Linked DNA regions of Xenopus tropicalis. The protein of the gene in region 2 interacts with the protein of the main gene of each other region in a pairwise test. Links are inferred from orthologs where the notes say so. Each region holds a gene or a part of one and is shown on either strand. Other genes may lie near its edges.

What was found.
Region 1: the proteins of rbpms (region 2) and fbxl18 interact in a two-hybrid assay, tested with the Homo sapiens proteins (2 studies listed by BioGRID). The two-hybrid records come from large-scale screens. The link is inferred for Xenopus tropicalis from reciprocal best matches to the Homo sapiens genes RBPMS and FBXL18.
Region 3: the proteins of rbpms (region 2) and cnnm3 interact in binary tests that used the Homo sapiens proteins (3 or more experiments, as listed by UniProt). The two-hybrid records come from large-scale screens. The link is inferred for Xenopus tropicalis from reciprocal best matches to the Homo sapiens genes RBPMS and CNNM3.
Region 4: the proteins of rbpms (region 2) and gse1 interact in binary tests that used the Homo sapiens proteins (3 or more experiments, as listed by UniProt). The link is inferred for Xenopus tropicalis from reciprocal best matches to the Homo sapiens genes RBPMS and GSE1.
Region 5: the proteins of rbpms (region 2) and fam168a interact in binary tests that used the Homo sapiens proteins (3 or more experiments, as listed by UniProt). The two-hybrid records come from large-scale screens. The link is inferred for Xenopus tropicalis from reciprocal best matches to the Homo sapiens genes RBPMS and FAM168A.
Region 6: the proteins of rbpms (region 2) and sema4g interact in binary tests that used the Homo sapiens proteins (3 or more experiments, as listed by UniProt). The two-hybrid records come from large-scale screens. The link is inferred for Xenopus tropicalis from reciprocal best matches to the Homo sapiens genes RBPMS and SEMA4G.
Region 7: the proteins of rbpms (region 2) and otx1 interact in binary tests that used the Homo sapiens proteins (3 or more experiments, as listed by UniProt). The two-hybrid records come from large-scale screens. The link is inferred for Xenopus tropicalis from reciprocal best matches to the Homo sapiens genes RBPMS and OTX1.

The regions. Positions count from the first base shown.
Region 1 is NC_030685.2:46,838,832-46,842,057, reverse strand, and holds part of fbxl18 (F-box/LRR-repeat protein 18), read right to left. Parts: intron 663-3,226; coding exon 444-662; intron 1-443. UniProt on the Homo sapiens protein: Substrate-recognition component of the SCF (SKP1-CUL1-F-box protein)-type E3 ubiquitin ligase complex.
Region 2 is NC_030677.2:83,887,483-83,890,982, forward strand, and holds part of rbpms (RNA-binding protein with multiple splicing), read right to left. Parts: intron 1,106-3,500; coding exon 955-1,105; intron 1-954.
Region 3 is NC_030679.2:125,271,144-125,273,767, forward strand, and holds the end of cnnm3 (metal transporter CNNM3), read left to right. Parts: intron 1-958; exon of another isoform or gene 959-1,033; coding exon 1,034-1,200; 3' UTR 1,201-2,124; downstream 2,125-2,624. UniProt on the Homo sapiens protein: Probable metal transporter.
Region 4 is NC_030680.2:64,870,816-64,874,315, forward strand, and holds part of gse1 (genetic suppressor element 1), read right to left. Parts: intron 2,903-3,500; coding exon 2,727-2,902; intron 1,846-2,726; coding exon 1,648-1,845; intron 1,559-1,647; coding exon 1,379-1,558; intron 877-1,378; coding exon 542-876; intron 307-541; coding exon 1-306.
Region 5 is NC_030678.2:173,972,403-173,976,557, forward strand, and holds the start of fam168a (protein FAM168A), read right to left. Parts: upstream 2,801-4,155; 5' UTR 2,637-2,800; intron 1-2,636.
Region 6 is NC_030683.2:29,615,179-29,618,678, reverse strand, and holds part of sema4g (semaphorin-4G), read right to left. Parts: coding exon 2,819-3,500; 3' UTR 2,493-2,818; intron 1-2,492. UniProt on the Homo sapiens protein: Cell surface receptor for PLXNB2. May play a role in axon guidance.
Region 7 is NC_030681.2:32,910,940-32,913,671, forward strand, and holds the end of otx1 (homeobox protein OTX1), read right to left. Parts: intron 2,303-2,732; coding exon 1,541-2,302; 3' UTR 501-1,540; downstream 1-500. UniProt on the Homo sapiens protein: Probably plays a role in the development of the brain and the sense organs. Can bind to the BCD target sequence (BTS): 5'-TCTAATCCC-3'.

The DNA.
Region 1 (3,226 bases), on a different chromosome or scaffold from region 2:
TCTTTTACTGACTTCCTTGCCTAGTATAAAGTTCCGTCCTTCCTGAGCCCTCCTTCCCTCTCCAGCTATGAAGAGTGAGTGGGCATGCTCACTGCCTCCGCTCCAATTAATATCAATCAAGCATGTGCTGTAGGCACCTCTTTACGGTCATCACAGTTAGAATGGGAACTTTGCACTTTTCAACATTGAACCTCATTTTCCTGCTCAGTTTTTCAATTTTGTCAAATTACTCTGCAAAGTGGCAGCATCCTGCGTCAATCTTATAGTTTGCATTATTTAGTACTAGGCAAAAGTTATTAAAAAAAGTTAGGCTTTTTGCTGCTCCTGGTAACTTGCAGGGCACTGCCGCCTGAGGCGAGTATCTCAAATTGCCTCATGGAAGCAGCGCCCTTGACTGCAGGTAAAAAGTTTACAATTAACTCTACAAAAGATAGCATGCTTACCTTTGTTTAATGCACTGCTGAAGATTCCTGCATGATTTCAGAGTTTCTCCTGTAAACATGTGGCATACAACAAGACTAGGACAAGAACTGATAAAGGAGATCACTGCATCAGGCTGGAACTTTCCATTGTGAGATACAATGCACAAGCGCTGTAGAGATGAACAGTGACTAAGGGCCTGAAAGAATTGACCGTTTGCAGAAAAATATGGTTGCTCCAATCTAACACAGAAATAAAAAACAAAAATTACAGACTCAGACTTTCAGACTCAAATACATGCATCAAATATTTAAGCATTCTACTAAAGGGGTAAAACATTCATAAAAATGTTTTTTTTCTAACTATTTTGTTTGCCCTAAATAGTGAGAAGCCTATCCTTCCCTAAGTCCCTAAAACTTATACTGAACCAGTTTAGTAAAAACTAAACACACATTTGCACGCAATGTTTAGATCACAAGCAATACTCAATTTACAGCTATCACACAACTAACAGAAAACAAAAAAGGAGTTTACAAACTCACAAACATGTATTATGTTATTGAATGGCCAATTCTAAAAAAAAAAACTTTTCAGTTGGTCTTCATTTTTTATAATTTCTGAATTATTTGCCCTCTTTATCTTAGTCTTTCCAACTTTCAAATGGGGTCACTGACCCCATCAACAGAAAAATATTGCTCTGTGAGGTTACAATTTTATTGTTATTGTAATCTGGATCAACTAGAAGTTAGGCAGGTTATATATAGGCATTATGGTTGAATGTGATGGATGGATGGATGTCTTTTTTCAACCTAACTTACTATGTTACTATGTATTGTTACTTTTTATTACTTATGTTTCTATTTAGATCCTCTTCTATTCACCACTCCCTGGTTGCTAAAGTAATTTGAACCCTAGCAACCAGATAAGTGAATTAATTGAAAAAACACAAATAAAGAATGAAGAGTAACTGGAAATTGTATTAGAATACTACTCTCTACATCAGTAATCCCCAAACAGTGGCTCGCAAGCAACATATTGCTCACCAACCCCTTCATGTTGCTCCCATGGCCTCAAAGCAGGTGCTATTTTTCAATTCCTGGCTTAAAGGCATGTTTTGGTTGCATTAAATCCAGAAGTACTGCCAAACATGTAGGCTGCCAGTCCAGATAGGGGCTACCAAAAAGCCAATAATAGCCCTTATTTGGGAACGCCAGGATTGTGGCTCACAAGTAAAAAAAAAAAGGTTGGGGACCTTTGCTCTACATTATACCAAAAGTTAACTCAATGGGTAAACAACCCATTTAAAGTGCAGCTTATCCAAAGTCTGAGTATCCCGCCCAATAAGTTAATGTGGATAGCGATTTAATTATTACAGTACAGTAAAGACCGATAAGAAGATGAAAAGATCTGAAAAACCACAGGCATATTTTAAGGAAGATGCCTGAAGTGAAGGTATTGGTAATATCCAGAAATACCCAGTAAGTTATCTACACAATTTGCAGGAAAAGCTAGCTGTCAGTTCTTTAAAGATACTAAAGCATTACTTGGTTTGGAGAGGCAAAGGACATTTTTTGATGATGAAATTACATAGCTTGTAGGGAAACAGGAGATAAACAGAATAAGCTGGTTTAAGCACCCACAACCAAGTCACAAGTCAACAATGATCTAGTGGTTCTAAATGGGTTGTATACAAATAAATTAACTTACAAAAGGTGTCTTTTTATTATTTTAACTTTTAAACATAACATACAAAAGTGTGGCAGACCAATTTGTACATTATTATTGTAAGGCAGGGGCAACATTTTAACTATAACATAGACAATGATATTCTGAGACAACATGCAATTAGTTTTTTTTACACACATTTAGCTATATACTGTATATATATACTTTAGTTAAACGTTACAGTGATAATGGTCCTCCTATTAGCACGTTTAGTAAAGTTCATTTTATCCTGCATGCTTTTAGTTGACGGACCATTTGTCATCTCTGCACTTCTCTGGTCTAATCATATATGGTCCTTTACTATCCTTATTGGCACATTTAGTCAGAGGCACTGATATTTCTATTGCCTGCTAAAAACTTACTGCTGAAAAAAGATTTTAGCAATTATTATTTCATAGAGAAATACATTTTTGTGGTATTCATGCGAATATCCACTGTATTCTTTTCTGTCAAACAAAAGCAGCTTTGTATTGCTTTATGGAAGCGATTCTAAATATACACTACACACACTGGCTCAAAAGACAAAGGATCAATAACCCTTTCTCTGAATAACACATTACTCATTACTATACTGTTCCTTGTAATGCATGTGGAATCAGCAGATAAAGTAAGTGTGACATGAGCTTTAAAACGAGAAGACTTTCACTCAGCTGAAATGCACTCAAAAACAAAGCAAGTAAAAAAAAAAACTTCTGAAAACCATGTGTGAAAATTAGATGGCTTTTTCCCACACAATTTTTATATTTTCAGTTGAAATTAGCTACGTGGAATAATTCAAATTTGTCACCAACTCACAGCATGATTGTGTAGTCAGAAAAAAATTGGGTTAATAATTGTTAAATATATAAAATAAAAAAAATATGAACTTGTTTGTGAAACACTTAAAACATTTATTAATGGATTAGTTAGTGGATTTCTAGAAAAGCAGAAATTCCCCTTTATTTTATATACTTTTGCCCAATTATAGTAACATAGGTTGGAAAAATGCAATTTTCATTTCAATCATGTGTCAGTGTGGAGTTTGGTGAACGCTGCACCTGAGACCAGAACAAGAGTGAGGAGTCTGCAATTAGTGGGCGAG
Region 2 (3,500 bases):
TGCCACAGGTTTAGTCAATTATGTAAACTAATTTTAACATAGAATTTACTGGTCACATGGTTAAAAAAGAACATTTATTTTTACTTTATTTTGACATTATTTAGGGTTTCTTATGTGAAAATTCAAGTAAAATATTTGTAAAATATTTGTGGCACATCCTTCTTTAAATGGATCACATTTTCAGATATATGTTTTAATGGAAACCCCAGTCATGTTAGAATTGTATATTCTATGTACATCACAGATCAGGGCATTATCATAGTTCATGTTAAAAATCTTTCTCAATTTAAAGAAACAGTCAGGGTATCATAGATTAATATTCAGCGACTTTTTTTACATGCTACTAGCAAGATTAGAATCCAGGAAGAACCTAACAGCATTGACTGTGGGTAAATAGAAGCAAAAGTACAACCATTCAGGAAAGCTAATTACTATTAGTACTCGGCATATCATTTGTACAGTTTGGGTGACTGTAGAAAAACCTATTATTAATCTCTTCATCAGATGTTACTAGAGCAAGAAGGTGAAAGGTACAACAATGAATAGACTTCCGTTAACACACTGTGTAACCAGAATGGAATATAGGCCTTTATACAAGAGCAATGGACCAGACCCACAATATTTATATGTTCCTATAGCCTTTTAAATAGTTTTACTAGTAGAAATGTTGATTTAAAATGGAGACATTTCCTTCAACCGTGAATCTATTTTAAATGTGAGATTCAATCCATTCTGCATACTGTTCCTTTGTCTTTCTTATTTTTGTTCATAATTCCTGCATAGCATTCCCTTTCATTAACCCTCACATTAATCTTTCTCTTTTCAATCTTCATCAATATTTCATCCTTTACATGTGATATGGAACTTGCCTTCATGGAACTGTACATGATACTACAGTGATATTAATGGCTGCAAGTGATCAATTACAAAGTATTTCAGAGTATAAACACTTACACTGGTCCCTAGAGATAAACTGAGGTACGCTGTTCAGCTGAGGTGTGCTGGGATTTGGGGTGCCTACAAGCTTGCTCTTGGCCATCTTTGTGTTTGCCTTTGCAAACTCAAGGCGTAGCGTCTGAGGAATTTCTGGATCAAATCTGATTCCCTAAAAAACAACAAATAGTAAAACATTTTTTACTCCAAACAGAATGTTGTACATTGATCAGAGCATGATAAACAAGACATCATTGCAAATGAAAACACTTTATAGAAGAGCATACCCTGTTTATAATTAGTATTTACATTGATTTATTATTGCCAGCTGCAATCAGGTGTAAATTGGTTAGTGAAATGCTGTTAAATGGATGCAACTTGCAGTTGAGTGGGAAGAGGTACAGTAGATGAGGAGAGGGATGGAAAGAGAATTGAAAATGGCAGAGGTAGAAAAGAAATGACTTAAGTTTGGGCTGAAGTAAAACACTGTTCTAAAATAAATGAAATTCTGATTTCAACTTATTGTAATGTGTGTTTATATGTGTTACACTTACAGAAGTAGTAAATGAACATTTTCTTGACATTGAACACATTCTGGGACTTTACCCTTTGTCAGTTTAGGTTATACTCTGTGTTTCATGTGATACTTCTAGGCATAAATGTATAGATTTTTCAATTCAAGGATCCCTGCATGTCTCGTCTACAGATTTATACACTGCATCTTGGCTGCACTAATTAAACAAAACAATAAATAATAAAACTCTTACCCTTTCTTGGAAATCTGTTTAGAGGCTTACATATTAAAGAATAGCTCAAACAAGTCTTAGACTTGTGGGAACAATTTAATTACAGCAACAATAAGAAACTGTTCTTAATGGACCTTGAGGCACATTTACTAAATAATACCTTATAAGGGGATACAGAGAAATTAGGAAAACATAGCTGGAAATGTACTGTTTAGCCAATTATTGCAGGAGAAATACATAAATAACTTTAAAGAGACAACAAGTAAATGCCATTTTATTCTTATATTAAAAACATGCAAAAAAATTGGTAAAGCCTGAAAGTTAAAGCTGCCTAGAGCTACTTTAGAAAAAGTAATTTTATACTGATGTTCTGTAACTTTCACAGATTAAATTGCAACTACCATGCAGTCATTATAATAAACATCAGTGCAATCATTCAGGTCAGTGCAGGATTTCACCACCAAAGCTGTGAGACAAATCTAGATGACCCTATAGTCAGATCATAAGAGGCCCATGCAGCGCTGTCTAGGGTGGTCCTCACCCAAGGTGGGTTTCAGCATTATCAACTGACAAAAAAAGTCCCAATCGGCCGTGGATAATAATGACCATAATTCTGGCACCAGGCATGGGACAACAAGCTGCTCAGTAGACAATAACAGAGCATGAACGGCCATCTATCTATACATTAAGGGCAATTTTAAATTTTTTCCTGATTATTTGTACATAGTTAACACAACTTTTTGACCTTGGCCCTCACACTGTTTCTATCTAGCATTTATAAATGTATTTACATATATCTGTAAAACATAGGTGGAGAATAAAAAAGGTTGGTGTGACCCGGATAAAAGCACTCTGCCTGAGGCCTCATGTTTTTATATGGTCTTGTAACTCCTCAGTGACTTCTAATATTTTAATAAATTACAATAGGGGGTACATTATCCACTATACAGTATATACACACTACAACAGACAGGTATGAATTTGCCAGAGGAATTAGCCAAGTTGACCCTCTATGCTTTGTTTTGGCACACTCCTGCCCACCAGTCTTGTATACCCTAATAAGGCGACCACAGATTTGTGAAGATAGTATAGAAGAACCAATAGTCAACTCTGTAACTAAAAATTATTAAAGGTTTGTTTATTACAGGTTTACCAATACTGATCAAACTGTAGTATTTAAAATGTAATGTAATGCTTATACAACTATGCCAAATCAAGCACGATATACATAATAGTCACTTAGACAAAGAGTTAGAGCATATGCTCTTAGGAAAGGATATAAGCCCCATTTTTATTCAGAGGATCTTAATAAATGTATTCCTCTGTAATTATCCATAAAAAACACAACCACTTTTTTTTTGGTTTTGCAGTGACTGTACTTTTATGCATAAACATTCATAGGCACTAGGTATAACTAAGTAGTTTAGAGGGGATTACCTGTTCCATCTTGAAAAGCAAGGTCTGTGCCCAGTTCTCTGGGAACCTAGTAACATCCTACTCCTCTAAGGATCTACAGTAGCAGTAGCCACTAGCAGAGTCCAAAGCTTTGTCTGTTACTTTGAACTTACAGGAACTAGCTGACTCCTCAATCCCTAAATAAGGATGTATGGTTATGATGAAAGTGAAGATGATTAAGCACATGAATACAGTAAAACCACATCCCCATATATAAAGTTTTCCCACATTTTACAGTTTTTTTTCAGTATGAATTATTATTGGTTCCATCAATAACAATACACACTGCATTTCCCTGATTTTGCAATTTCACAGATTTTACACATTTTTCTGATCCCCTGTAATATATATATATAATTGGTGCTT
Region 3 (2,624 bases), on a different chromosome or scaffold from region 2:
CCCTGCATGTGTATATAAGTTCTCATTAGTCCGCTACCCCCTATTCGGGTTCAAGTACATTAGGAAGATTAATCATTAAGCAGATAGTTTAGATGGTAGACTCATTGTTCTAGTTTACAGTGAAGCCAAGATTAAAAAGGCACAGTGCCAAGCAATTTCTACCCCCAGTAAAGTAAAATATTTAGCCACAGAGAAGAAAAATGTCTTCCTGTCTGAAGATAACATGCTCAGATTTTGTCTGGTAGTTTTGTCCAATTTATATCACACTGCCCAACCATTGGGGTAATTTCAACAGTTAATTCTGCAATCCTGATGGATAGAGGATTATCTGGCCTGCCAGGAAATTTCCATTGGTCAGGTAGGATGTGGGGCTAAAGTTTCTTTTCACTACCTTTTCTTCTGACGGTTTGGGCAATGAGCCCAAATGGAATGGAAAAGTGGCCATACACATATCTAGCCACTTTTACAGTATACATCTGTTCAGGAGGGAGTGCTTGCCAGAACAAGAAAGGGGTACATTGAAACATGCAATGGCTAAAGTTGTAGGTCTAGCAAAACCAGCAGCTGAGCCTGCATCAATGTTTAAACACTAACCAGCAGGTATTAGATATGCCCTTGTATCACTATACTGTATAGATCAGCCTATGTATGGCCACCTTTAGGGCTCTGGCACACGGGGAGATTAGTCGCCCGCGACAAATCTCCCTGTTCGCAGGCGACTAATCTCCCCGAAATGCCATCCCACCTTGAGAGGAAACTTCCGCAATTTCCCTGAAATCGCGGCACCGCGTTTGCCATCCCACCAGCGATTTACATTTTCGCCGGTGAGATGGCATTTCGGGGAGATAAGTCACCCATGAACAGAGAGATTTGTCACGGGCGACTAATCTCCCCGTGTGCCGGAGCCCTTACAGGGCAAGCATATTTCTACCTGGATCAGTAACCTTGGACACATTCATTAGTTGAACACGATTTAGTAATAACTTTAATGACCTTATTATACAAATAGTAACTTATTCTATCTTGTTTGCAGAAAGCAGAAAAGAAATAACAACAGATACTTGGCCACAGAATGCTGGAGAGAAAGTGATGAAGGAGGAAATCATCTCTAATCCCCCATACCTTGAAAGCAAACCTGGTGCCCAGTCTCTCCCCCAACAGGGACCTGTTACTATAATGGAGAGCATTGTTATGTCCTAATAACAGCAGATTTCCGCCCAATGCCATACCTCCGTGCCATTATTATTATTTTTTTTTTTAAAGATAAAGTGCCCAAGCATTTTCTGGTCCTCGCTTGCTGGCCAGAGGGCTCCTCACTTTGCCGAGCTGCCAACAAGTTCAAGCAGGAAGAACAGTGACCAATTATTTCTCTCCCAGGAAGCAGCCTTGCAGGCACACAAGGGGCTAAGAAGACGTGCCACTGAGCTGTAAAGAAGAAACCGCAAGGTGTGAAGGTGTAGGGTTAATATTTTATAGAAGTTATAGACAATTGTTCTATGTTTATTTTGTATTAAGCAAATCAAGGACTTGGGATTGAGGTAATTGTAAGTATATACACATTATCCCAGTCATTGCACTAATCTTTGTAGTCTGTGTGCACCGACTGTGCCATGATTTCTAGTCAGGCCAGTTGCTGAAGTGACTGACCTGTATAAAACCTCCGTTTATTACAGCATTTATAAGAATGTAGCAAGCATAGTCAGCGTAAGCATTCCTTAACCTACACTGAGCATGATCACTTCATTTTGGATGTTTGTTCTATGCCAAGCTTGTAAATGGCTGCACTGCTGGGTACACAGACTATCGTATTTGGTGCCATACTTCCAGGGCTCAATGCAGGCAGTCTGTCCTCTCTTCTACTGTGAATACACCGAAGCTGGTCCATGTCTTTTTATACAAAGGATAGCACTGCTACTTTTTCCGGCTGTCTCCATAGCCCTTCCAGTACCATGGAGCAGACTAAGCATGTTCTTATGATACACAGCATTCTTGTCAAGGGTACGACATAGCGCTCCTCATTTTTAATACTAATCCATTTTACATCAACCAGGGGAAATCGCTCACCTCCTCCAACTAAACAGCTATGTTTGGATTTATTGAAAAATACAATGTTATATACACACACGTGCAGCCTTGCTGGTTTTCTTCACATTTTAACATTGGGAAATGCAACTGTTACAGACCTAAAACTAACAGCATGTCCTTAGTGAGATGATTATCCGGATCTGGAATAATGGGATAAAACCTTGGCCTCTATGCATTAGCCTCAGTATTAGCTGGAGCCATTCCTCCAGGTAAGTATATCAGAGCTGCTTCCAAGCACTTATATACAGGGGTTCCTTCTACAAACTGCTCTCCCTTCACTGTTCTGGAGAGGGCAGGTGGCGAAAACAGCGACTGTATAGCTGGTTTCCTGAGATACCTGCTGTCAGACAAGTACCTAAGGCCAGAAACTCATGGGAATGCCCAGTGAGACTTACTCTGACAACAGGCTATTTGAGAAGATTTATAGAATTTTTAGGCAATTTTTAAATAAAGGTTTAATTCTTCTTGTAATATATAATACTTAGGATGAGCAAATGACTTGTAGAAAGGAAAAAAAATGACATGCTTTCTTAGTATCT
Region 4 (3,500 bases), on a different chromosome or scaffold from region 2:
CAGTCTCCAGCTGGCTAATAGGTCGACCTCCAATATCCAACTGCTGCTCCAGTACTTGCTGACGAAATTCTGAGACTTGGTATTGGCGGTCTTCTTTCTCCTGTCTGAGACGTCGCTGCCTAGCTAACCACTTTTCCTCTTCCTGTGTCCTCTGTGCCAGAAGAGAGGCTGCTGCACTGTTGCCAGGTGGAGTGAAGGTAGCATGATTGGAAATGAGGCTGGGCACAGAATGCTGTGTGGCCTGGGGCTGTTGTATTGGGAGCTGGATAAGCTTAGAAGATGAGAGAGAGGATTCCTTCAGCTTCTCTGCAGAAGTTAAAAAAAAATAAATAATAGCGTTGACCTTTAAGCTATACAGAAGACCACCTTAGGACAAAAAGGGGAACACTAAGTGCCTCCACACAAACATAACTAAACTGTAAGTACACTTGTATAGTTAAAGCTTGCATGGCAAAATGCATTACAATGTATAGCTTTGTAGTGAAATTAAAAGTGAAAATGGCTCAGTGTTGACTGTATCCTGTTGGAGCTGGGAACCTACCATGTCTATTTGGAGTGGGCTGTTCAGCAGGTTTTGCACGCTCTTCTTGATGACCCCTGAGTGGATGGACCTCTGATTCAGGCAGAAATTGGTTCTCTATACTTTTTATAAGGTTGGCTTCCTTCTCTCTAGTCCTTTCTCGTTGTCTCTCCATTTCTCTCTCTCTCTCGCGTTCCTTCTCTCGCTCCATTTCTTTCTTCTCCCGCTCCCTTTCCCTCTCGCGTTCCCGTTCTTTTTCTCTCTCCCGGTCAGCTTCTCTCTCTTTTTCTCGCTCCCGCTCGCGCTCCCTCTCCCTCTCTCTTTCCCGCTGCCTTAGTTCTTCATCCATTTGAAGCCTACAAAAGCAATCATAGTTTATATATTGCCTCACCAAAATGCAGCTGCTCCCCTTGAAACCTTTTAACTTAAAAACACATAATTTTACATGGATTAAATAATAATATTATATATATATATATATATATAGCAAGACAATGAGCCGCACACGCAGGGACTTTTTTAGAAAACAAAAAATTTCTTTAATGAAAACGATCCAACGTTTCGAGCACCAACTGTGCTCTTCCTCAGGGACAAACCAAACAATATATATAATATATATATATAATATTATTATTTAATCCATGTAAAATGATGTGTTTTTAAGTTAAAAGGTTTCAAGGGGAGCACCTGCATTTTGCATATATATATATATTTGAATGTAATACAGTGCCATAATCACAAAACAAGCCAGCAAGAGCATTTATCTTTGTTACCAAAAGTAAAAAAAAAAAAAAAAAAAAAAAAAAAAAAAAAAGGATGCTATCATCATTTGGGGCACTGTGCCATTTATTCTCTTACCTCTCTGCTGTAAGGCTCTGGATACGTTCTGACTGCAGTGCAGACAATGATGAATGTGTAAGCTCTGTGGGATATCGGAGGTGAAGGTGCATAGATGGGTGCAAGGGTGGGAGAGATCCAGGGTTGTGAAGAGGATAAAATGGGGACCTCAGGGCAGACAAGCAGTAGGAATCATCCATCCTAGAATGACAGAGCAAGAAAATGGGATCCTTTCATAGTGGCTGGAGAGCTCCAATAAGTTTTCTTATTTAAAAAATACTTTTAATTACCTAAATGCTGGGTGAGGAAAAGTGTGGTGGGCCAGATAACTGGGATGATAATATGCTGCTGCAGTTGCGGGATCCAGGCCAATGTGGGGCAGTGAGGGCATACGCAGATCTTCAGCTGTGTGGTATGGGCGGAAACTGCGCAGATATTCCTCAGTGACTGCACTTTGAGGGACCACATGAGGTACTGGCCGCTGCAAGCTGGAATTAAAAGGAAACTATTAATCCTGCTTTTTTCAATGCCATTTTCTTGCTAATAATAGAGTAACGGTAATAGGGAATTTATTCACAGAATTACCAGATACTTAGCTTATTACTGCAACGTCACAGAGTTGGTACCCTCAGATTCCACTAAGAATTTTGGGTGGTTTTATAGCTCATTGGCACAACTCTTTATTTATTGTTACAGGACGTCTTCTATATAAATGGTAGCCTACTACTACTACTTCCTTCTCCATCTGGTTCCATCACCACTTCTACCTAGACTAGTATTAACTAAGCCTCTTCCCTTGGAAATAGTAACCTGACACCCACCAACTGAGCAACCAGTGGGAGATGTAAAAACATGGTACAAGGGCAGCATAAGATTTTTAGGGGAGTGTTTAACAAAGGGACATGCCCAATAGAAGTGAACAGAGACAATGTTCCCAACACACACAATAAAATGTGGTGCGCACAAAATACTTGAATTTAAGAAGAAATTAGAGGGGACATTGAGAGAGAGAAAGCTATGATATTTTCCTCTGTAGCGAGGTTGATTTCACCCTTTGATAAATATACCTCTGTGTATAAAGAAAATTCATCACATATTAGGTACCCTATATCAATAGAGAAGGTGAATAAAGTCTAGTAGCCGATGGCAGCACTGGTCATTGTAAGTGACATTCAGCTTTGCCACTGAGGGCTCATATGATCCTATACATCGCCAAATGCATCCCTCTGTTGCACATGACTAAACAAGCTAGAGACCAGCCTGTTTGCCAGTCACACCAAATGTGCAGACTGCAGAATCCTACTTGTCTTAATTAACTAAGAGCGCAAAACATATACATGCATCAAAGACTAGCATAATGCCTGCTCACTTTAAGGGCTGGAAGCGTGCATCTTGGACAACAGCGCTGGGTGGAATGGCAAAGGCATAAGCATTTCCAAGCAGGTGGGAGGGGACAGAGGTTGTGCCACTCTTCTCAGGGGGCAGTTGTGATTCAGATAGAAGTCGATCTCTGCTGAGGCTGCTGGTTCGGGAGGAAGCATCTGGCTGAGGGGAAAATATACAAATATTACAATCAGTAACATTTATTGCAATATACCGAGGTTACAGCAACCCATTTAATTATGTTTTGAGATAGGAACAGAGCTTTTGCAGTCCATTTTTAATCAGGTCTATCTACCTCTGTGGTCTGTGATTAGAACTATTTCTAGGTTGCTTTGAGATGTATTTTCTTTGAATATACAGCAAAGTACCAATATTCAATATCAGCTATTACCTGTTTACTGACCAGTTCAATGCTTCATTTTATACTTATATTCACACAATGTAACAGTAATAATAGTTGGAGGAGCTGTAGACCCATGTATTTCAATGCAGGCCAGATATAACACAGCAATGCCGCTTTAGAACGTAAGCTCTAATGAGCCGGACCCTATTAACCACCTGTATCTGTCAGCATTTTTTATGTAATATGAATGCTTGATGAACACACCCTTGCATTGTACAGCACTGCAGAATATGTTAGTGCTTTATAAATACTTTTCCTGGCCACTCCCCATATCAGCATTACACCTAGGGGCACCCCCTGCCCCCGCCCCTAGATCAGATAGTCCCTCCCCCAAAGGTTTAAAGGTATCCCAGGAGC
Region 5 (4,155 bases), on a different chromosome or scaffold from region 2:
AGAGAGGCGCATATAGTAAGGTAAGGAGCAGAGAGGCGCATATAGTAAGGCAAGGAGCAGAGAGGCGCATATAGTAAGGCAAGGAGCAGAGAGGCGCATATAGTAAGGCAAGGAGCAGAGAGGCGCATATAGTAAGGTAAGGAGCAGAGAGGCGCATATAGTAAGGTAAGGAGCAGAGAGGGGCATATAGTAAGGTAAGGAGCAGAGAGGCGCATATAGTAAGGTAAGGAGCAGAGAGGGGCATATAGTAAGGCAAGGAGCAGAGAGGCGCATATAGTAAGGCAAGGAGCAGAGAGGCGCATATAGTAAGGTAAGGAGCAGAGAGGCGCATATAGTAAGGTAAGGAGCAGAGAGGGGCATATAGTAAGGTAAGGAGCAGAGAGGCGCATATAGTAAGGTAAGGAGAAATACTATTTGCTAAACCCCCAAAATAATTTTTAGTAAAGTCCCTCCCAGCACCCCCAGCATTACTACTGATACACATACCTCCACCATGATTATTCTATGAAGCCCTACAGGAGGCCCAGGAGCCATTTATGGCCCTAATGTGCAGCTGCGGCCTCCATGATGATGTTCTGGAACCCAGAACTATTGCTATTGTATCCGCACAACATCCCATAACCCCCAGGCCCCACATACAGCAGCGCTACAGTCAGTGGCTGGAGAAACCACAAGGCACACGGATCCGCACTACTCCCAGCGAGGGACATAATGCTGAATAGCCCGGGGCCACACCAGCCCCCCTGAAATCTTCCCTGTTGCCCAGCACTGCTTTACAGTACCCCCATATTATAACCCTTCATATTGGCACCCCGTGAGTATTACCTGCCCCATCAGCAATCCTTTATATTGTGTCCCATCCCAGAACCGCCATCCCAGTACCAACCAGCTACACTGTCCCCTGCCCCTACTGTACCGGCCCCCCTGCCCCTACCATCCCGCCCCTACCGACCCCCCTGCCCCTACCATACTGACCCTCTGGCCTTACCATATCGACCCCCTGCCCCTATGATACCGCCCACCCTGCCCCTACCATCCCGCCCCTACCATATCGACCCCCTGCCCCTACCATACCGACCCCCTGCCCCTACCATACCGACCCCCTGCCCCTACCATACCGACCCCCTGCCCCTACCATACCGACCCCCCTGCCCCTACCATACCGACCCCCCTGCCCCTACCATACCGACCCCCTCCCTGGCTCTACCATACTGCCCCATGATACCGAGCGCCTGGCCCTACCATACCAACCCCCTTGCCCTACCATACTGCCCCTATGATACTGACCCCATGATACCAACCCCCTGGCCCTACCATACTGCCCCCCGGCCCTACCATACTGCCCCTATGAAACCGCACCAGCCCTACCATACTGCACCCCCCGGCCCTACCATACTGCCCCTATGATACTGACGCCATGATACCAACCCCCTGGCCCCACCATAACGCCACCCTGGCACTACCATACCACCCCTATGATACCAGCCCCCCTGGCCCTACCATACCGCCCCCCCCCACTGGCCCCTACATACTATTGCCTGGCACGTCACTACTGTGAAATCATCTGCCATAACAGTATATTTCTCTCCATCACAGAGACCCTCACAAGTACCCCCCCCCATAGCAGCCCCCTTCATACAGTACTGGACAAAATACCCAATAAATAACCCATATACCAAAACATCATTGCACAAAGATAATACAGTTATGTGTGTTACTGCTAAATACACATTTGGTTTTTCCCTAAAAAAAAATCCTGGTGTCGCTGATCTTTTTGTGTATATATATATATATATATCACCCAGCACAGCGCCATACCCCCAGCCCCATGTATATCCCCCCCCCCGCCCAGTCTCCCACCCCCTGACCCATATAAATACCCCTGACACAAACCCTAATCCCCATAGGCAGTTGTTTGCCCCCCAGCAGCATATAATAAGGCCGGTACCCATCCCGGCGCTGCCTCCCCGTCACCATCATCATCCTCAGCATCAAAGCACTGCCCCCCCCCCCCTGCCTGATATCCCTCCATCAGTATTCCCCCAGCACCAACACTGCCAGCCGCCCCCCCCCTCCCACACACACACACACACATATATATATATAATAACCACACACATGAAATCATATACACATATATACATTATGTTTGTGCTTTCATGTGGCTATACACACACACACACAGCATCCCCCCCCCCAGTGTTCTTTCCCTGACACCCCCAGTATTACCCACAATGCCTGCACCTAACACACACACACACACACACACACACACACACAATAACCTTCCCCACACACAGCAGAATCCGCTCCAATCCCGGCATCCTCTCTGCCCCGGAGGTTACGGACCCCCATTATCCCGGCATGCCTCTAGCCACCAACATACCATGGGGTACAGAACTGCCCCCCCCCCCCAATTATATATAGTTGCCCCCTCCCCCCACACATCACAATCCTACCCCAGGGCTATGTTATTATGGGGCAGATACAGTAACTCCCCCCCACCCCCCTGCACCTGCCCCCCCTCTCTCCCCGCCCCCAGTTCTCCCGGGGCCCTGCTGCCCGTCTCGGCCCTACACCCCCCAAACTGACTCCCCGGCCCCCAGGCCGTGTCCCTTGCAGCCCCCCGTACTCACCGGGCCGTTCCACTCTGGCTATGCCGTTCCGTAGCGCAGGATGTCCGTGAGTCAGGCTGCACAGTCCGTCTCCTCTCTCCGGGCATTCAGAGATGCGGGGGCGGGGCTACGGCAATGGGGAGGCGGGAAGTGGCCTGTCACTGTGACATCACCTCCGCCATAACCTGGGTGGGCGGTACATTCTCTTCCGTCACTCACTGCCTGGGAGATGGGCGGGGCCGCCTTCCCTCACTCACTGCCTGGGAGATGGGCGGGGCCGCCTTCCCTCACTCACTGCCTGGGAGATGGGCGGGGCCGCCTTCCCTCACTCACTGCCTGGGAGATGGGCGGGGCTGGCTCTGACCCTATATAGGGCTCTGACTGGGCCGCCTTCCCTCACTCACTGCCTGGGAGATGGAGGGCAGTGACACTATATAGTCTGGTTTCTAGGGTAATTTGGACTGTAGCAACCATACAGCTGCATAAATTGCAAACTGGGGAGTCCCTGAATAAAAAGCTAAATAGTTAAAAAACCACAAATAATAAAAAAATGAAGACCAAGTGCTAATTGTTTCAGAATCGCCTTCCTTACTACGTACTAATAGTTAATTTAAAGGTGAACAAAACCTTTTAGGATTAACAAAGCTTTGAAAATGGCGTATTTCTCCTTTAATTCATGTCCTTATTCTATTTCAGTCAGCTTCCCCTCGATCCAATGCGAATACTGGGCCTCCCCACGTTCCCCCGGATTTGTGACTGTACGAGATTCATTTGTGCAGATGAACGTTCCATATAGAGGAGTGAGAATGGTTACATGGCGGCGGCGCGTGAGCTGTAGGGTTCCCCGCTGAGAGGTGAGGTGGATTTATTCCTGTGTAGCTGAGAGGTGAGGTGGACTTATGTATGTATGTATATAGTAACATAGTAACATAGTAAGTTGGGTTGAAAAAAGAAATACGTCCATCAAGTTCAACCATAATGCCTATACCTAACCTGCCTAACTACTAGTTGATCCAGAGGAAGGCAAAAAACCCCATCTGAAGCCTCTCTAATTTGCCGCAGAGGGGAAAAAATTCCTTCCTGACTCCAAGATGGCAATCGGACCAGTCCCTGGATCAACTAGTACTGAGAGCTATCTCCCATAACCCTTTATTTATAATTGCTACTTATGTACGCAGCGCTGTACAGTAGAATACATTAATACAAACAGGGGGTTAATAAGATAATAGATAAATACAAAGTATAATAATAAATACAGATAAATACATCAGCAATAAGTTAAGAGTCGAGGACACAAGAGGATGGAGGTCCCTGCCCCGTAGAGCTTACAATCTATATGGGAGGGTAACTTACAGACACAAGTAGGCAAATATAAGTGCTGTAGGTCACAGTGGGTGACACTACAATATAAGTGCCAGTTCCCAGATTAGGTGCTGGGCGAGTGCTCCAAAAGGTAGTCTTATTCCTGTGTAGCTGAGAGGCTGCTGCGGTTTTGCCGCATTACATGGATTATCCGTATCCGGCCTGCCACGGGCACCAT
Region 6 (3,500 bases), on a different chromosome or scaffold from region 2:
TTTCATGGTTACTAAAACACCAGAAAATATCCTGCCATAGACAATACTGAGAATTGCCTCTACTAAAACACATGTAGAGACAATTATCAGCATTGTCTTTTTTAGTAGCCACGACAAGTAGCTGCTACTAGTAGCTCTGTGTGTCTTCACCCTTAGGGCAGTGGCACATGGGGAGATTAGTCGCCCCACAACAAATCTTTGACGCTGCGATGTCCCAAAGTTGCCCGGAGTTTCCTCTCAAGACAACTTTGGCCGACTTCGGGATATCGCAGCGACACGTATGCCATCCCACCGCCGATTTACATTCCAGCCAGTGGGATGGCGTTGCGGGGAGATTAGTCGACTAAAGCAAAGCGACTAATTCTCCTGATTGCCCCTATCTGCCTCATTTTCAAGGAGAGGCGCTAACATTTTGCACTGGACGCTATTATGCCAGTATATTCAGAAAAGGACGTCAGTGTAGATACATACGTTATGACTATTCTTGCTTTATTCAAGACTATTGCACTATTTTGGGATTCTGCCGAATCCTAATTTGCAGGGGTTAAAGAAAACTGTGTGCACAGAAAAAAAAAATTCAACATCTGTGTTAAAGGATTTGAATTCAGTTCGGCTAGGCACTTGGATTTGGTAGAATGTGAATCCTGCTGAAAAAGGCCAAATCCTGGATTCCTAAAAACTATAGGCAAAGAGTAATCTCAGCACAAGCCCTACTCACTGCACTCATGTTGAACCAACAGGGGGAATACTGCCCCTTTAACAAAGCAGCTTCCCTAACCACAACCCCCTCCCAGCGCCCTGTCTGAGGTTGAGGAATTGAGGCAACAATGATTATTTACAGATGCAGGATGGATGTCCGTATAACAAACAATGGTTTGCTAATGAATAATGCATTATGATAAAAAAGATGCACAAAATGACTCCTCTAATTCACAATATTTCCCCCCAGAGGGGTTTACTTATTTGTAACACATCCAAGCTGGAAATCTTCTCTCACAATTTACATTTCACAGCAGAAGTTTCTCTGTTCTTGGCAGAAGACTGGCTGCGGCACAGCTTTTATCTAGATAAAACTAAATATAGCGAAGCTGAAGGGAGGAAACCTGAACTAGGTTTATCTTGGATTTCAATGGAAATAATATAATCTTTGCCAGGAAAGTGCCCATGCTTTGTAGAATCATATAGTAGCTCAGGGTCCTGGTGGGAGGTGGGGGGGCCCCTAAGGCCTCTGCACCCCCCAGTCCGACCCTGTAGTAGCTTGGACTTACTATGTAGATTGGGCACAGAGAGTAGAACATATTTTACTATTTATAAAGCATAAGTTAAAAATTATTAAAAAAAAAAAAAAAAGTCTAAAATATGAAATATTCACATATGTAATGGCAAAAGGTTACTTTATTTCAGTTTTTATTAACAAAATAACTTAAAATCCACTGAAACTCTATGATGAATGCATAACTGAAAGTTGCTTACAGTGATATTTTCTATTATTATGCAAAAAAGTTTGTGGTCCCAAAATAATGGAATGATATGTGTCTACAGCTCATTGAAGTCAATGCAACACACTGTTTATAGCCAGTAGAGCCGGGCCAAGTAGTACAGGTATGAGACCCGCTATCCAGAAAGATTTGAATTACAGGAAGACCATCTTCTAAACACTCTTTTTTAATCAAATAATTCACATTTTAAAAAATGATTTCCTTTTTCTCTGTAATAAGAAGATAGAATTCTGTACAACAGGTCCCATACCTGTATTGAAGCCCAAGGCAATAGCCCTGCACCCACAAGCCCACACATACGCCTACCCTCTGGCATGTGTCTGTCCTGTCTATCCCTAGCTCCAGCCCTGTCTATCCCTAGCTCCAGCCCTGTCTATCCCTAGCTCCAGCCCTGTCTATCCCTAGCTCCAGCCCTGTCTATCCCTAGCTCCAGCCCTGTCTATCCCTAGCTCCAGCCCTGTCTATCCCTAGCTCCAGCCCTGTCTATCCCTAGCTCCAGCCCTGTCTATCCCTAGCTCCAGCACTGATTACCAGGATCATCTGTGAAGCTCTGGGAAGCCTGAAATGACTTGCACGAGCCTGCCACTATGTTTAACTCAGTTAATAAATTATATGCATCACATACTGACAGAGGTGAAATAAAACTGCCTTGAGGATACCTCCTATAAACTATTGATTTAGCACAAGACCATCATCATGTGCATATTCTATGCCTATAATACTATAACACTGTAATCTAAAAACATCTGGTAGCAAATGTTAGACAGGGTTAGCAGACTAATGGGGCCATGTAATAAAAGATGTTAAGTTTGCCAGGTCCAATAACCCATAACAACCAGTCAGCATTTTATTGGTTGCTATGGGTTACTGCTCATTGGCAAACTTAGTGCCTGTTATTACATATAGGAGTTAATATGGCAACAGTTACAAATGTAACTGATTAATGAAAGTATTACATAAAAACATTTTGTCTTATTTTATTTTTTTACCTACCTGATGTGTAATTTGGTGTAGTTTGATGTGTAACTTTTTCCCAAACCAAACAGGATCCAGATTTCTGCCTCAGCTGGACGTGCCTAATCCTTCCCACGAGTTTATGATTTATTCAACAAAGCTTAAGCCCACAGGCTGGTGGAAAAGCCAATGTCTCCAAACTGAGGTGGCCATTTCGTACTTATAATGCTTCAAGGTTTTTGGTTTTTTTTTTAAATATGTAATGTGGGTTAAAATAAAAAAACAATATATTATAAAATGTAATTTTTTTAAAAATTGCCATTGAGGTAGATGAGGTTTAGTTCTTTGTATTTTTTCAGTCTATACTACACAGAACTTTCATCCAATTTTTCAACCAGTTGTGTATGTTTCCTCTTCTCAAGGATCTTGCTGAGCTCCTCTGTAAAAGAATTGTATGAGGGTAGGCTGGACTCCTCATTCTGTCTAAGAAGCATATAACTGTTGCCATTCATTTTCCTAAGCATGTTGGGTAGAGTGCTTATTCCATTGGTGAACTCCGAGGGCAATGGAGGTGGTGGAGGTGGGGGCGGAGGCATGTCTTTGTGGGGAGACAGTGTGGGTGCCTCTCCAGGGATGATCTGCAGGCACCCATCAGAATAACTGTTCAAGTCCTCTGCCTTTTCTTTAAACTGAGATGATACAGTCTGAAGCTCAACATTTGTGGAGCGAGAGTTTCTCACAGCATACTTACCCTTCTTTTTCTGCTGGCAAGACACATATAACAAAACAATAGAGAGGACGACGCACAGAACACCGAGAATGGTGATTGTGGAAATGTAGATGAATTGAATATTACCAGTAGACTGAGGGGCAGCTGTTGGCAGTTGGATTATCGGTGTTGGCGTGGAATAGTTCTTCTCTTTTGGAAGCTCCAAGAGGACATTTAGAGAATACACTGCTACCAAAGACTGCAATCCGTTCTCTTCTGAGTAACAGCTGTACTCGCCACTGTGCTCCGGGAGAGTGTCGGTAATTAAAAGACCATCG
Region 7 (2,732 bases), on a different chromosome or scaffold from region 2:
ATTCGTAGCCTTGTGGCCCGAATGTGATCCTTGTATTAACTGCAAAGATGACACGATATAGTAGTTGCGATAGTTAGGTCCTTACCAGACTGCATTCGCGTTTTAATTCATTTGGTATATTATTGATCCTGGAATGTGACTGGCGCTAATTGAGGGTTTAATATTTGTTAACTTTACGGATATACCGCTGATTTACAGCAAAACCAAGAAGGATTAATAAAAACCTTCACCAGAACTGAGGCGATGATTCCCTTAGCAGAGCGTTTCCTGGCGATACTGGTGCGACATTTCTCTAGGCGCAAGAGCCAAGCAAAGCTTTCTGTAGGCGCCAGGGCGGCCTGGGCACACAGGGCACCTTATTACTTCACTGGTTACTGTACTGGCTGATAGGGCCTGGCAGATTTCCCTGAGACCAGCTAGACAACCTGGCACTCTTGACAAACAGCGCCTAAACACACAGACTTTGCATTCACAACTAACAATAAAGCGACACCATAAACTCACTTTCATTAGTTTGATTTTTATTTGAAAGGATGGGGGGTATGTAGAAATGACTTTTCCTTACATCGATAGCCATTGTGGAGCACCAAATGTACAAACAGAATTTTCCTCACCTACACAGGGACAAACAGAGCCAAATTTTCAGTGACACAAATGCAAGTGCTGCCCGGACAGAATGTAAGAAAAGCAGGAATAGCGGTGACACTAATGGGATTGAAAGAAAGTAAATGTGAGTGACAATACACATACTGAGAGCTGTCCCGTTAAACAAACGTGGGTGCGATTTCCCAGTGACAGACAAGTGTGGACTCTACACAAAGTGCAATAAGCCAGACTCGGGCGAGCACATTCTCAGGAACACGGGGGTGCATGAAACTTCATTCTTTTTCAGTCTCCAAGACTTTGTATTTAATAAATAGAGTGGGGAAACGCCACAACATCTAATATGCAAGAGGTTTGGTCTCCAGTAAAGGGGTTATTAATGGTGGGGCTGTAGTTAGAAGTCCGGAAATCAAACCAATAATATAAACTAAAAATAAAGGGTCCTACAAACGGACCTAAATAAATATGTACATATTCCAGCCGCCTGGGCAGCAAGAAGCTAAATGAGTCCTACATCATATAAACCTCAGGGGAAGGGCTCTATACAGACTGGGCACAACACACCTGCCCCTTGCACTTTATAGAATGAGAAACTTTGGGTTAAAACATTAGATTAGCCACAGGTCCCAGGGCTGTACTGAGAGCACATCAAAGGCAGACATTTGTCCAAATCCCAGGTCCAGACAGTGAATAAATAAAACCACTAAATGGTGAAGAACACTGGTGGGATATCTATCCATTTTGTACAGGCACAGTTAATTCATATATTCAGAATTCTAGCCCACAAGCAGATTAAAAAATATATATATTGTTCATTCATGTCCTTCACTCCAGCTGGAGGCAAGCCTGGCACAGCACTTCCACATATACTTTATTCATATATTTATATATATATATATATTTAAGAGGATGGCAGGCAGAAATGGTCTCTGATTGCTCACAAGACCTGGAACCTCCAGGAGGACTGATCTTTGTAGTCCAGACAGTCGGTGGAATTAAAGTTGAGTTTCCAAGAAGACGCTGCGGCTTGTTCCTTATAGTCCAGACAGTCAGAGGAGTTAAAGGGCAAGCCTGTGCCGGTATAGCCCTGGTGATGGTGGTGGTGGTGGTGATGGCTGGAGGTCTGGCTCAGGTGGTGATGATGATGATGGTGGCCAGACATGGAGGAAGGGGCCATGGGGCTCAGCTGGTGAGGGTGATGGTGAGAATGCATTGGTGCCAGGTAAGAGCTGCAATCCACCCCGCTGAAGTAGGAGGAAGAAGGGGCAGGATAGCCCTGGGTGTAGCCGGCTGCCTGACTGTAGGACATGGGGTAGGAAGCTGCAGATGAGGAGCCAGAGCGTTGCATGCAGGAGGCGCTGCCTGTTCCCAAGGGGTCGGGGCCAGACCCAGGGCCAGTGCCCGGAGAAATGGAGGCCGGGCTCCAGATGGAGGAGGCTGTGGAGGTGCTGCCATTCAGCGGGGCTGTAGCCAGGCCGGGGTTCCCGGATGAATTGGAACTGGAAGAGGAGGACGAGGAGGAAGAGCCGGAGCTGGGCACCGCGGGGGGAGTGAACTGGCCGCTGCTCTCCGACCCCGAACTCTCTCTGGCCGGGCTGCACTTCTTCTTGGCCGGTCTGCTCTTCACTCCCGCCCCGCTGCTGCTCTGCTGTTGCTGCTGCTGCTGCCGACACTTGGCTCTGCGGTTCTTAAACCAGACCTGCAGGAAAGGCAAAAGGGAGCGGATTAGGCCAATGTACTGCAAGGTGGCCAGCCACACGGCCCAGCACCTAACTGCATGGCGGCCAGCCACACGGCCCAGCACCTAACTGCATGGCGGCCAGCCACACTGCCCAGCTCTAATCACCAATATACACAATACTGTATATCTAGTATAAATAAATTTGAAGCAACTGGACTTGTTTAGTAATCATTGAAGACGTTTCACTACTCATCCGAGCAGCTTCTTCAGTTGAACTGAAGAAGCTGCTCGGATGAGTAGTGAAACGTCTTCAATGATTACTAAACAAGTCCAGTTGCTTCAAATTTATTTATACTAGATATACCATGACCTGCATGAATGAAAATCTACATAGACACACAATACTGCAGTCATTTGTACTTATTTCCTAAATTTGACTCTAGCCCTA